Linked DNA regions of Canis lupus familiaris. The protein of the gene in region 2 purifies or fractionates together with the protein of the main gene of each other region. This does not show direct contact. Links are inferred from orthologs where the notes say so. Each region holds a gene or a part of one and is shown on either strand. Other genes may lie near its edges.

Region 1 (6,475 bases), on a different chromosome or scaffold from region 2:
CCCACTGTGCCGCCGAGGCGCCTCCGCCTTCTTGATTTTTCCCCATCCCTCTTTCACTGTACCCCTAGCACCTCTGTTTCCACATTGCTTTATAATTGTCTGTCTGGCTCCCTCACCTGAATACCAGAGGGTGTTCAGCAGGAAGCTCTGCGGGAACGGGATCCGGGTTCCCCGTGTTGGTGTGAAGGCAGTGAACAAAATGTTTTTTTTTTTTTTTTTTTTTTTTTTTTAAGTCAGAAAATGCTCCTTAATTGTAAGTTTCATTTTAATAATGATCTTATTCTCTTTTTACAGGAATCCTGTAAAGCTCAGAAAACATGGTGAGTGATACACATGCCAGTAAGCTGTTGCCTGATAAATCTTATTGTTTGTATCTGTAGATGTGCATGAGAAAATTGGAATGGAAGGGAAAGGGGCTGGGATGGTGTCCTCTTCCTTATGCGTTTCCTCCCACACACTGAGCTTTGCCTGCCAGGTTGTTTTATGAGGTGGTTAGTGGACTTGCAGGAGCCTACTTCTGGTGGATAGGAATCACTTCCATATTTTTCCTTTGCAGTCTCGAAGATATGACTCCAGGACCACCATATTTTCTCCAGAAGGTAAAATGGAAATTGTTTAAGATATTTCAAATAAAAAGATTTCTTTAGAATTTGACCGGGGTGGGGGGGGTAATCTATAGACTTTATCAAAAATTTTATTAAGTAATCTCTACAGTCCGCATAAGGCCGCGACCCTGAGATCAGGAATCACATGCTTCACTGAGCCAGCCAAGCGCCCCTGCCTACAAACTTTCCTTTTAAATCCTTGCTAAGTTGTTCGTTCTTCTTGTACTTTGGACTAATTGCGATCACCTGGTTGGTCGCATGCTTCCTAGAAGGGTGAAAGCGGGACTCCTGTCCGTGGCCTGCCGGTGTTGGCACTGCTTCCCTTAGGAGCGCTGCTGCTTGGTGACTCACTGCTTGTGTCTTGTAGGTCGCTTGTACCAAGTTGAGTATGCCATGGAAGCCATTGGACATGCAGGCACCTGCTTGGGAATCCTAGCAAACGATGGTGTTCTGCTTGCAGCAGAAAGACGCAACATCCACAAGCTTCTTGATGAAGTCTTTTTTTCTGAAAAAATTTATAAACTGAATGAGTAAGTGAGATCTTAGGGAAGGGAGTATAAAATGTCTCACTTTCTCACATAAGTGCCATTGTACGTATTTCGGGAGGGCTATTCCATGACATGGTACAATTGAACAGTTTGTGTTTATCTCTGGGGATTTTGCTTTTAATTTATTGTTAAAACCTCTTTGGGGCCCAGGAACCACATGTTTCTCTTTTTAAGTACAGAACGAAGCACTCAGTGGAGGCCCCACATCGTGAAGTGACAGGAGCCCAGGCTGGTCGTCACTCAGATCTGGGTTGATTTAGAAGCTGTGTGATTCTACGCTGCTTGTTTAACTTCTCTGGGTCTCAGCTAGAGTAGTCATGGCAGTTTGAACCATAATGAATATAAACTCGCACAGTGGCCTGTGGCAGGCTTCAGAGCCTTGTTCAGAATGGCTACTCAGGAATTCTGTGGAGTTCTGCTGACTCTTCCCAAACGCCAGGCCTCCCCGAGGTCGGGGAACAGTGTAGCCAACCCTGTACACCCGGGGACGTTTGTTCCAGTCAGCGGTGCAGGACCTTGCAGCTGGCACGGGCCCTTCCTGGGAGGCTCATTCCAAGGGGTGCTGTCTGTGCACAGTGCCACTGTCTCCTGGCTCGCTGGGGTGACCCCTTGGGATCCCTGGTCCCGGCCTCGTCCTGGCTGCCAGGCAGACTCATAGAACACCCTTCCTGCAGGTCCCTCCCCTTCACCCCCATCACGCTGGGCTCAGATACTGGAGGACGTGGAGCAGCCTGTCTTCCCATCTGTTGACAAGTCTTGGGCTCACTTTAGCTGCTTTAGTGCTTGTCTCTTGCCTGTGCCCAGGGTGGTAATGAGAAATACATCTGTTGAAGAATTTGTGGGAGCCTTTATTTTTCATGTGGAATGACATCAAGTTGAAAGTCTGTCATCGTGAAGCTCCTGTGGAGCATCGTGGTGCATTTGTGACAATGCACTTGTACCTTAGTGCTTGTGAACACCTGTGGCAGACCTCTCCCTGCTTACAGATACGTCTGTCCTCTCCTCCAGGGACATGGCTTGCAGCGTGGCGGGCATAACTTCTGATGCTAACGTTCTCACGAATGAACTGAGGCTCATTGCTCAAAGGTACGGTCGTAAATAGCAAGATACATAAATGAGTGAGTTTCCATGTTTCTGAGGAGAACTGTGAAGATCTAAATCATTTAAAAAGTCTATTCATTGAAAATTAAAGTTTTTTTAAACCAAAGCTATAAAACCTTAAGGGTATTAGGCTGTGGCTACACTCTCCCCGCCTTTTCAAATTACAGGTGACAGTGGAGTTGTCCCTGTGGCATAGATCTCTTTCAGAGGGTATTTTGCTTAGGGGGTGTCTGTGTTTTAGAGAAAAGTCTATTAAAATGCCAATTTCTTTATTATAGGTATTTATTACAGTATCAGGAACCAATCCCTTGTGAGCAGTTGGTCACAGCACTGTGTGATATCAAACAAGCCTATACACAGTTTGGAGGTACTGAATTTTTTGAACATTGTATTCCAAAAAGTTAAACCACCTTATGAATCATAACCTTTTTGAGATAATAAAAAGAAATTGAAAATGAAATGAGAAAATACTTCACATAAATCCCTGCTTCACCAATTTACTGGCTTCCACTATGTAGATTGTCCTATGTTTTATTAATAGATGCTGGAAGGCCATAATGCCATTTTCAAATCTGGAAACAAATTGCATTTTACATAATAATGAAATTCAGCACTGGTCCTCTGTGTCTTTATTCTCTTTCTTGGCTGCGTCCAAATCCTAGAGACAAAAGTGGAATTTTGGCTGGAGCTTAGCTGTGGCGTTCAGAAAACGAAGCAGTTTATGAATGCTTAACTTCACAGAGGACGCTTTGGTCCTGCTCGTGGGCTCAGGTAACCATAGTGATACGGGATTCAGATGGCTGATACGTTGTTTGTCGTTGCTGTTAAAGGAAAACGTCCCTTTGGTGTTTCATTGCTTTACATCGGCTGGGACAAGCACTATGGCTTTCAGCTCTATCAGAGTGACCCTAGTGGGAATTATGGAGGATGGAAAGCCACGTGCATCGGAAACAATAGTGCTGTGAGTATTTTGGGGGTTGCTATAAAATCTGCCAAAAGATCTAGTAACCCCCATAATTTTGAAGTAGCCATGAGTATAAACTGTTCTAGAATAGCTGCCGCACCCTTACTGTGATGTGAAAACATTGGATTTCTGTTGGTAACGAAGTCACAGGCACTGCTAATACTACTGGGACTTACTGTCTACGTTTATAAAGGAACTTTAATAAAGGAAGTGCTGATTTTCAGTGGGAAGTTTTGGAAATGGGATGTAATTATTTTTTACATCCTAGTTCTCAGACCCTTTGACTTATGTGATGGGCCCCTTGCAGGCCTGGGGAGGTCAGGTTACAGATCCCGTTCATAGAGCGACAACCCCCTTGTCATCCCATCTGCCCTCCCTGCCCTTAGAAGTGTGGGTATTGGTTACAGTGCCCACGGTGGTTCAGCCATTATTATTCTGACCCATCCATGTTCTAGAAATTTAAAGGAAACTCTTTTTTTTATTCTCCTTTATGTTTCATAGGCAGCGGTGTCGATGTTAAAACAAGACTACAAAGAAGGAGAAATGACTCTGAAGTCCGCACTTGCTTTAGCTATCAAAGTCCTAAACAAGACCATGGATGTGAGTAAACTCTCGGCTGAAAAAGGTAATTGGTGTCCACTCCTCCCTTTGGCTCACTTGAGTGAGAGAGCGATTGAGTGGCCTTAACCTATTCCTGAGGGAGGATGCGCGGGCTCGTGGGGTCCTGGGCCTGACCGTAAGCCCATACTACCCTCTGAGCGCAAGGACTTAGGCCAGAGTCTTCTCGGTGCTCACTGACCTGTTTGAAGCAGATACTTTTAGTATGTAACTGACCAGCTCCTCGGCCGCCTGGTGTGTGTGTGTGTGTGTTTGCATACGATGGTGATGGTGTACTTCATCCAGAGACGACCTTTGCAGGAGTCGTGATGTTCTCTGTTCTTTTGAATCCACTGGTCTCTTATGTTATCCCATGTTTGCAGTTTTAAATACTTTATTTAGCGTAAGTCATGTGATCGTATAAAACAGTATTTCTAAATAAGGATTTTTCAAAAATTGTGGTAAATTAATAGATTGATTCAGTTTAGCATAATTAAGCTCCTGGTGTCCTTAGAAAATGCAGTCTACTTGCGGACTGCCCTCTGTGGTTTCTCCTGCTCAAAAATCCCTCCTTTGGTATCAGTTTACTTTTCTTGCCTTTGGTCCTGGAAAGATCTTTTTATACCTATGTTTTGAAGAGTTTTCAATGGTCCGTGAACAATGAATGTGATTACGGGTTAGCGACTCTGACTGTACCTCCAGGGGCTCCAACAGGGACGTGGAGGTGCCTTCTGGTCATCGCAGCTAATGGCCGGCCAGCTAGAGCCAGTGGTTGGTGACAGTGGCAAAGGGCGAGTGGGAAGGTTGCGGGGGGTGAGGAGGACACTTAGGAGAGTCGACAGGAACGTCACAGGATGGAAGGTGCTCTGTCGCTGTCAGGACACGTGAGAGCTCCCACAGGAGTACTTGTGCGAGAGTATGCGTGAGCGTACGTGTGCGAGCCTCCCCCCCCCCACCCCCCCGCGTGTCCCCGGGAGCAGCGGCACAGCTGGCAGCGGGCGCCTGGGCTGGGGAGCCGTTGGCAAGGTGCCCGCCCATAACGTAGGCTTGCACTCACTTGCAGTGGAGATTGCCACCCTGACAAGAGAGAACGGGAAGACGGTCATCAGGGTCCTGAAGCAGAAGGAAGTGGAGCAGCTGATCAAGAACCACGAGGAGGAAGAAGCGAAAGCGGAGCGAGAGAAGAAAGAAAAAGAGCAGAAAGAGAAGGAGAAATAGGAGGAGAACCCTGGGCTCTGGCGGCTCCGGGGCCGTGTGCCCGCTGCCCGGCCTCCCTCGCCCGGTGGGCAGACTGGGGCGGGCACCAGCGCAGGCCTGCCGTCTCTGTCCGGTTGAGTCTTGTAGTGACGCTCGGTCGTAGTGGACGCGCTCGTCCCTCCCTGTGTTGGTAATAAAACTTGGAAAGAACGGCCATGGTGAAGGGGGGCGTCTGGGGCAGGAGCCATGACTGTCGTGAGGGGGCCCTGCTTACGGGGGGTCCCACAGGGTCAAGTGCAGGGACGCAGGATCCTCCCCGTCCTGGTGCTGCCGGCCGGTGGCGGCCACGGGGTTCATACCAGACATGAGCACGTCTGTGAGTTGTTGGCAGAGTGTGAGGCGACTCGGGAAACCCCGTGTGGCCACCAGCCGGCGTCCGAGGCTGTGCCCTGACCCCATATGTCCCTGTCACATCTGTGTGCACGGCCTGCCCCCTGGGTTCTGCCCCTCTGCTCAGGTGGGCTCATGGGGCGGTCAGGCCGAGACCCCCACTCCGAGCTCAGGGGCCCTTCCTCAGGCTGCAGGGGCCCCGGGCAGCTCTGTCTGCAGGGACTGGTCTGAGCAGGGGGGGTGGGGGGGCGAGGGCCAGGCCGGAGGAAGAGTGGAACCAGGGAGGACAGCAGAGGAGCTATGACGAGAGGGCGCTCACTGCTCACATGCCGTCCACCACCACCGGGTGCCCTGACCCCGTGCCGGGGAGCCCCCTGCCCCCAGCAGCCCGGCCATGGGTGCTGTGCAGCCCCCCGGGTGCTTGTCAGCCCTGCGGACACACGAGGACCACGCGGAGCTCGTGAGACATCCGGGGCGGCTCCCCCACGGCTGCCGGTCCTGCCTCGGTGTTCTCTGGCCCGTCTGATGTATGCCTTCTAAATCCAAGGACCCCATCACTGTGGGCAGCTGGCCGTGGCCGCCCCGGGGACCGTGTCATCCCCAGGAACGGGCAGGTGCTGCACAGCTCTCGGTGGGAGGGCCAGGTTGGCCTCGGTAGTGCCCATGAGCGGGCTCGGATCACCCAGTCCGTACGTGACCTGTTCTGTGTTCTGTGTGTGATGGATGTTGATCCGTTAATCTCATGGCCGACCCTGGACGCGCCAGCTTCTCCAGTGCCCAGCGTCCCCCCTCTCCTGTTGGGTAGCACGGCCTTGCCCTCATGGACTGTGACGGCAGGGTCAGCAAAGCACAGTGATGTGACAAATTGGCACAAACAGGCCGAGAAAAGGAGCTGAAGCAGGCAGATCCCCAGGTGGCTCAGGTGTCACAGCTGCGTCTACACGTCCACCGTGACCACGAGGGCGCTGTCCGCGGGTGTGGACATGGGTGGCCAGCCAGCCTGCAGGTGCAGGAGGGAGACGGAGAAGGGAGCTAGTACGTCCACGGGCCTCGCTGGCCCCACCATCGGCCAG
Region 2 (5,745 bases):
GCTGCGCCACCCAGGGATCCCCTATTTTTATTTTTTAAGTGCATGGTTTATTTTTTTTTTTTAATTTTTTTTTTATTTATTTATGATAGTCACACAGAGAGAGAGAGAGAGAGGCAGAGACACAGGCAGAGGGAGAAGCAGGCTCCATGCACCGGGAGCCCGACATGGGACTCGATCCCGGGTCTCCAGGATCGCGCCCTGGGCCAAAGGCAGGCGCCAAACCACTGCGCCACCCAGGGATCCCATAAGTGCATGGTTTAATAAGTAAAACTGACAGTATGATGACCTAATGGATATGTGGTAGGGAGAGCAAGGCCTCATGCAGAGCCAGTCTGTTGCTATTTTTTATTAGAGCATGGGCTGGGTAAAGAAGCTTAGGAGTTTAGGGACGCCTGGGTGGCTCAGCGGTTGAGTGTCTGCCTTTGGCTCAGGGTGTGATCCTGGAGTCCTGGGATCAAGTCCTGCACTGGGCTCCCCTGCAGGGAGCCTGTTTCTCCCTCTGCCTGTGTCTCTGCCTCTCTCTCTGTGTCTCTCCTGAATAAATAAATAAAATTAAAAAAAAAAACAAAAAGAAGAAGCTTAGGAGTTTGGTTTGAATATGAGTGTGAGGGGCCTAGAATACATAGGTCCAAAGGGGGAACAGTCAGTAGGCAGTTGGACATGAAGGTCTGAGTTCAGAAGAGAGGTCTGGGTTGGAGGTCTATGAAGTCATCCCATGTAGATGGGAACTGAAATCATAGGATGAATAAAATTGCCTAGAAATGAATGTATAATGAGAAGAGGGTTTGGGAATTTACCTTCATGAATTCCAAAAATTAAAAGTTCAACAGAGGATAATGAACCAGGAGACAGAAAAGAAACAGCTAGAGAGGCAGAAGGGAAACCAGGATAGCATGGTATTAAGATATGCCCAGTAAGAAAGTGTTTTAAATAGGGAATCAGACTGTCAAGGGTTCCATTTTGAATATGCAGCCTCTTAACTATATGGCTTGGGTCAGCTACTGTATTAATAGTGAAGTCAGTGATAATCATGTGTAGGGTTTACCATAAAAATGGACAATATATGTGGAGATTCAGCACAATGCTAAGTACAGAGTGGGTGCAAATGAGTCATTTCTTCATATTAGTACTATTTCAAAGTCCAGTTTTGACATTATCTCCTATTATAGTACTTTACGTAGTCTGCCATGATAATTTTTTAGATGACTGCCTGACACATTAGGCTGAGGGTTCACCTCCACGTACCCAGCTATTGAATATAGGGTCTTATAAAGACTAGATGCTCAATAGATGGATGTTAACAAGACATCTTGCCTTTCAGTGGTAGCTCTATTGCATTCTGAATGGCAGGCATGAGAAGGGGTGCCTGGGGGGCTCAGTCGGTGGAGTGTCCAACTCTTGATTTCGGCTCAGGTCATGATTTCAGGGTCGTGAGATCAAGCCCTGCGCTGGGCTCTATGCTGAGCTTGGAGGCTGCTTGCGATTCTCTATCTCTCTGCCCCTCCCCCTGCACTCACACTCTCTCTCTCAAAAACAAAACAAAACAAAATAAAACTGCCTGCTTTAGTCTTACCTCATATACTCTGTATCGAACGATGTCGTTTGTTTTCATTACCCTTTTCAGATCATCCAGCAGATTGCTTTCAAATAAAGCCTCCAGTCCAGCTTGGGTTAGTGATATTTTTGACAGGGATTTAATGGCCTTATAAGGAAAGAAAATACCTCTTAAGTCATAAAGATGCAGAATACTTAATACCTACTTCATGAGATGGATGTGAAATTAGTGTGTGGAATGCATCTTGCTCAACGAGCACTATGTTTTAGTTATCATTATTTTAAACTGAAAAAGATACACATAGTATTCCCTATAGAAAATGCACGATGTGGGCAGCCTGGGTGGCTCAGTGGTTTAGCGCTGCCTTCAGCTCAGGTCGTGATCCTGGAGACCTGGGACCGAGGCCCATATCAGGTTCCCTGCATGGAGCCTGCTTCTCCCTCTGCCTGTGTCTCTGCCTCTCTCTCTGTGCCTCTCATGAATAAATAAAATCTTAAAAAAACAAAAACAAAAACGGATGACGTAAATTTTCTTACCAAGCAACCTAATATAAGTTCCATGATGGATAATTTAGATATGTGTATTTTAGAAAACAGAAGGGGTTTACTGGTATTTATATGACACCATTTACTTATCTGACACCATCTATGTGAGGCTGCAAATTCAACTATACAAATCATCCATCCTAAACTTCCACCCCTCAATCCAGAAGGCCTTCCTTTGTTTTTTAGGATACTCTGTGTGCTTAAGCTGATGGTTCTAGGTGACTCACCGCTTTAGCTACAGACAGATTGTCTCCACCAATACAATAAACGATCTGTTTTAGTAATTCGCCATTATTTAGAATCTCAGTAACAGCATCAGAATTCTCAACAATTCTTCCGACCTGAAATAAAAATGCAATCAGAAATTCCCTTAGTGTGCATTTATCTTAGGGGTCGATGATTCAGCTCTAAGACAAGCCATTAAAAATTCCAAATGAAAAAAAAAATTCCAAATGACCCAAATTCATTAAAGCTGAAGACACTCATGATATAGGCACAATACTGAAAAGAAAGACAAAAGTTAACAGTAGGTAAAAAATAGAGACACTCCAGTGAAAGAAGACAACACAAATTCTAGTTCTATCAATTTTTAGCTACAGACCCTGAGCAAATTAACTAACTTCTTTAGTTAATTCTTTACAGGTTTCTATCTGTAAAATGTGATCATAATACTTAACTGCAGGGTAGTTATGACGATGGAAGGAAACTAAATAGGATAAGTACCTACTATGGCGTCTAGCACATAAATGGTCAGAGAATCAATCAACACTTTCTCCTTTTTTGTTGAAATAATACCTCCAGGTGAGAAAAAGAAAAATAGTACTTGATGCCTCCTAGATAACTGCTTGGGTCCTAACATCTCAACAATATAATCCTTAGCAGCAACTCTTCACCCAAATAGTATTTTGGTTACTAGGGTTGTAAGAGTTACTGTCTCAATTTCTTGGTTTGGTGACCTTTACAATAGCACCTTTTTTATGCCCCTATAATAAGAGCTACTTTGGCAATTACTTCCTCTAGATTAGGAGCTCCCTGAGGGGAGGAAATAGGCTCTATTTATCTTGATAGCTCTAACAGTATATGGTACAATGTCTGGCATGTACAAGGAATTCAGTCAGCATTTGATGAAGGAGTATTTCAGACAATACTTACTAGAACCCCTTACTTTAGCCTGGATGCTCCTGCTTATAGTTAGCTACGCACACTAGAATAGACGAGACACCTCCTAGGGACACAGAGAGATCATGTTTTGTCTCTCTGTCTTTGGCACCCAACACAGAGCCTGGTCCAGAGCAGGCGGTCACTAAATGTCAGTTTCCTTATTATGTGCTAGTAAAATTTCATACCTGGGATAGAGTCAGAATTTTTACGGAATCATCGGGGTGAGTCAGTCCCTTCTGAAGGTCAGCTCCGAGGTTCCGGGCTATGTGAACCGGCTCCATAGCTTGGAGCAATCTCTCCAGAATGGATACACACAAAGTGGTCTGTTCCCTAAAGGAAATGTCATAGGTCTCATTAGTTTGTGTCCGGCCAGGTACAAAGTAACAACCTGAAGCCTGGCTCAATGAAGGTCTCTTCCACACCAGACTTCCTTTAAAATACTAACTTCTACCAATTTATTAAACATTTACTAAGTACCTATATATTCTCTAGCCTCAACGAGCTTAGTCTAATGGAAAATACAGAAAAACAGAAGGGCAATTATAATTCAGGTGGGTAAATATTATAGGTTAGGGTTGGAAATTCTGGGAGCTCAAAAAAGAACACAGGGATCAAGGAAGCCCTCCCAGAGGGGTAATAGCTGAACTAAAATTTTTTTTTTAAATATGAATTTTTTTTAAAATTTTTATTTACTTATGATAGTCACACAGAGAGAGAGAGGCAGAGACACAGGCAGAGAGAGAAACAGGCTCCATGCATCGGGAGCCCGACGTGGGATTCGATCCCGGGTCTCCAGGATCGTGCCCTGGGCCAAAGGCAGGCGCCAAACCGCTGCGCCACCCAGGGATCCCCTAGCTGAACTAAATTTTAAGAAAAAGTGGGAATTATCTAGAAGAACAAAGGTGTTCCATGTAGAAGGACATGAAGGGGTAGAGGAATGAGGTAGTGTTATACATTCAAGGAAGTACAGGGAGCTCCATATAACTGGGGTAAGAATGGGAGAGAAGTGGGGAGAAGGTAAAAGGGGAGGTATGAACAGGGAGAAATGAAACAGGAAAGATGCACAGAAGCCAGACTCTGATGGGGTTTTTTATCATCTACAGAATTCAGACTTTTTCCAGAAAGCAATGGCAAGCCACTAAGTGGTTTTAAACAGAAAGTAACTGATGAGATCTGACTTGAAGAAATTATTCTGTATTAGTTAGAGAAATATTTTTTCCGTTAGAAGGCAGGTGATGAGGGAGTGAAACAGTGTAGTAAGAAGAGATAGAGAGGCGGGAAAAGATTCACGAGGAATTAAAGATGTGAATTAATCAGAACTTGATGACTACCAGTTGTGGATATAGAAGGTATTTCAAGAATCACTTCTTCTCCTAATGGGCAGTACGTGTAAATAGCTCAGGCGCTCATATACTATTAACAGGAATATACAATTAAAGTGATTTGACTTTTCTAAAAGTTGATTAAGGGGCACCTGGGTGACTCAGCGGTTGAGTGTCTGCCCTTGGCTCAGGGTGTGAACCTGGGATCCTAGGACCGAGGCCCACATTGGGCTCCCCGCAGGGAGGCTGCTTCTCCCTCTCCTTGGGTCTCTGCCTCTGTGTGTCTCTCAGGAATAAATAAAATCTTTAAAAATATAAAAGTTGATTAAGCAATAGATGTAAAAAACCTTAAAAATGGACATAACTTTTTTAACTTTGGGATTCCACTTTGTATAACTGCACCTAAGGGAGTAATTAACAGTGTTTATACCCAAGATAACTGAAACCATATATCCACACAAGAATTTGTGTGTGGATATTCATAGCAATAGAAACAACCCAAATGTCCAGCAATTAATGAGTGGATGAACATAACCTAGTTTAATCATACAATGGGATATTATACAATACGGATGAAGTGTGGAAATATTACTCTAAAAGAAGCGGGACATAAAAAGCTTCTTTTTGATGGTGATTGCATTTATATGAATGCCCAGAACAGACAAATCCACAGAGACAGAACAGATTCTTGGTTGTCAGGGGCTGGGGGAGGGGCAGAGAGGAGGAAGGGGGAGGAGCGTCTGTTCATGCATATGGGCTTCTTTACTATTTTAACCATTTTTTTATTATACAGTTCTGTGTATCAAAGTTCATTCACATTGTTGGGCGAGCATCACCATCAACCACCTCTAGAACACTTTTATCTTCCCAAATGGAAAATGTGCTGCACTGTAGGAGGGATGCAGAGATGAACAGAATATGGCCCCTGCCTTCAAAGAATCATCCAACTAGAAGCAAACATGGAAAGAACCATAACATAATGCAACAGAGTCAAGCATTGTTAGCAGAAATAATGATAATGTGACAATGTCTCTCAGGAGATCTGAGGGCCAGTCACTTGAAACTGGAGTGGCCAAATGAGACTTTTTGGAGGTGACAGCACTTTACCTGAGCTTTAAAGAATGAAGGAATTTGGAGAGAGGGAGGGCGTTTCAGTTAGAAG

What was found. The genes of interacting proteins can lie anywhere in the genome.
Region 1: the proteins of PSMD5 (region 2) and PSMA4 fractionate together in Homo sapiens (co-fractionation; 3 studies listed by BioGRID). This does not show direct contact. The link is inferred for Canis lupus familiaris from reciprocal best matches to the Homo sapiens genes PSMD5 and PSMA4.

The regions. Positions count from the first base shown.
Region 1 is NC_049234.1:39,135,667-39,142,141, reverse strand, and holds the end of PSMA4 (proteasome subunit alpha type-4), read left to right. Parts: intron 1-294; 5' UTR 295-317; coding exon 318-320; intron 321-556; coding exon 557-599; intron 600-972; coding exon 973-1,135; intron 1,136-2,161; coding exon 2,162-2,239; intron 2,240-2,532; coding exon 2,533-2,621; intron 2,622-3,084; coding exon 3,085-3,215; intron 3,216-3,719; coding exon 3,720-3,843; intron 3,844-4,878; coding exon 4,879-5,033; 3' UTR 5,034-5,226; downstream 5,227-6,475. UniProt on the Homo sapiens protein: Component of the 20S core proteasome complex involved in the proteolytic degradation of most intracellular proteins. This complex plays numerous essential roles within the cell by associating with different regulatory particles.
Region 2 is NC_049232.1:74,283,750-74,289,494, forward strand, and holds part of PSMD5 (26S proteasome non-ATPase regulatory subunit 5), read right to left. Parts: intron 3,592-5,745; coding exon 3,447-3,591; intron 2,442-3,446; coding exon 2,328-2,441; intron 1,703-2,327; coding exon 1,574-1,702; intron 1-1,573. UniProt on the Homo sapiens protein: Acts as a chaperone during the assembly of the 26S proteasome, specifically of the base subcomplex of the PA700/19S regulatory complex (RC).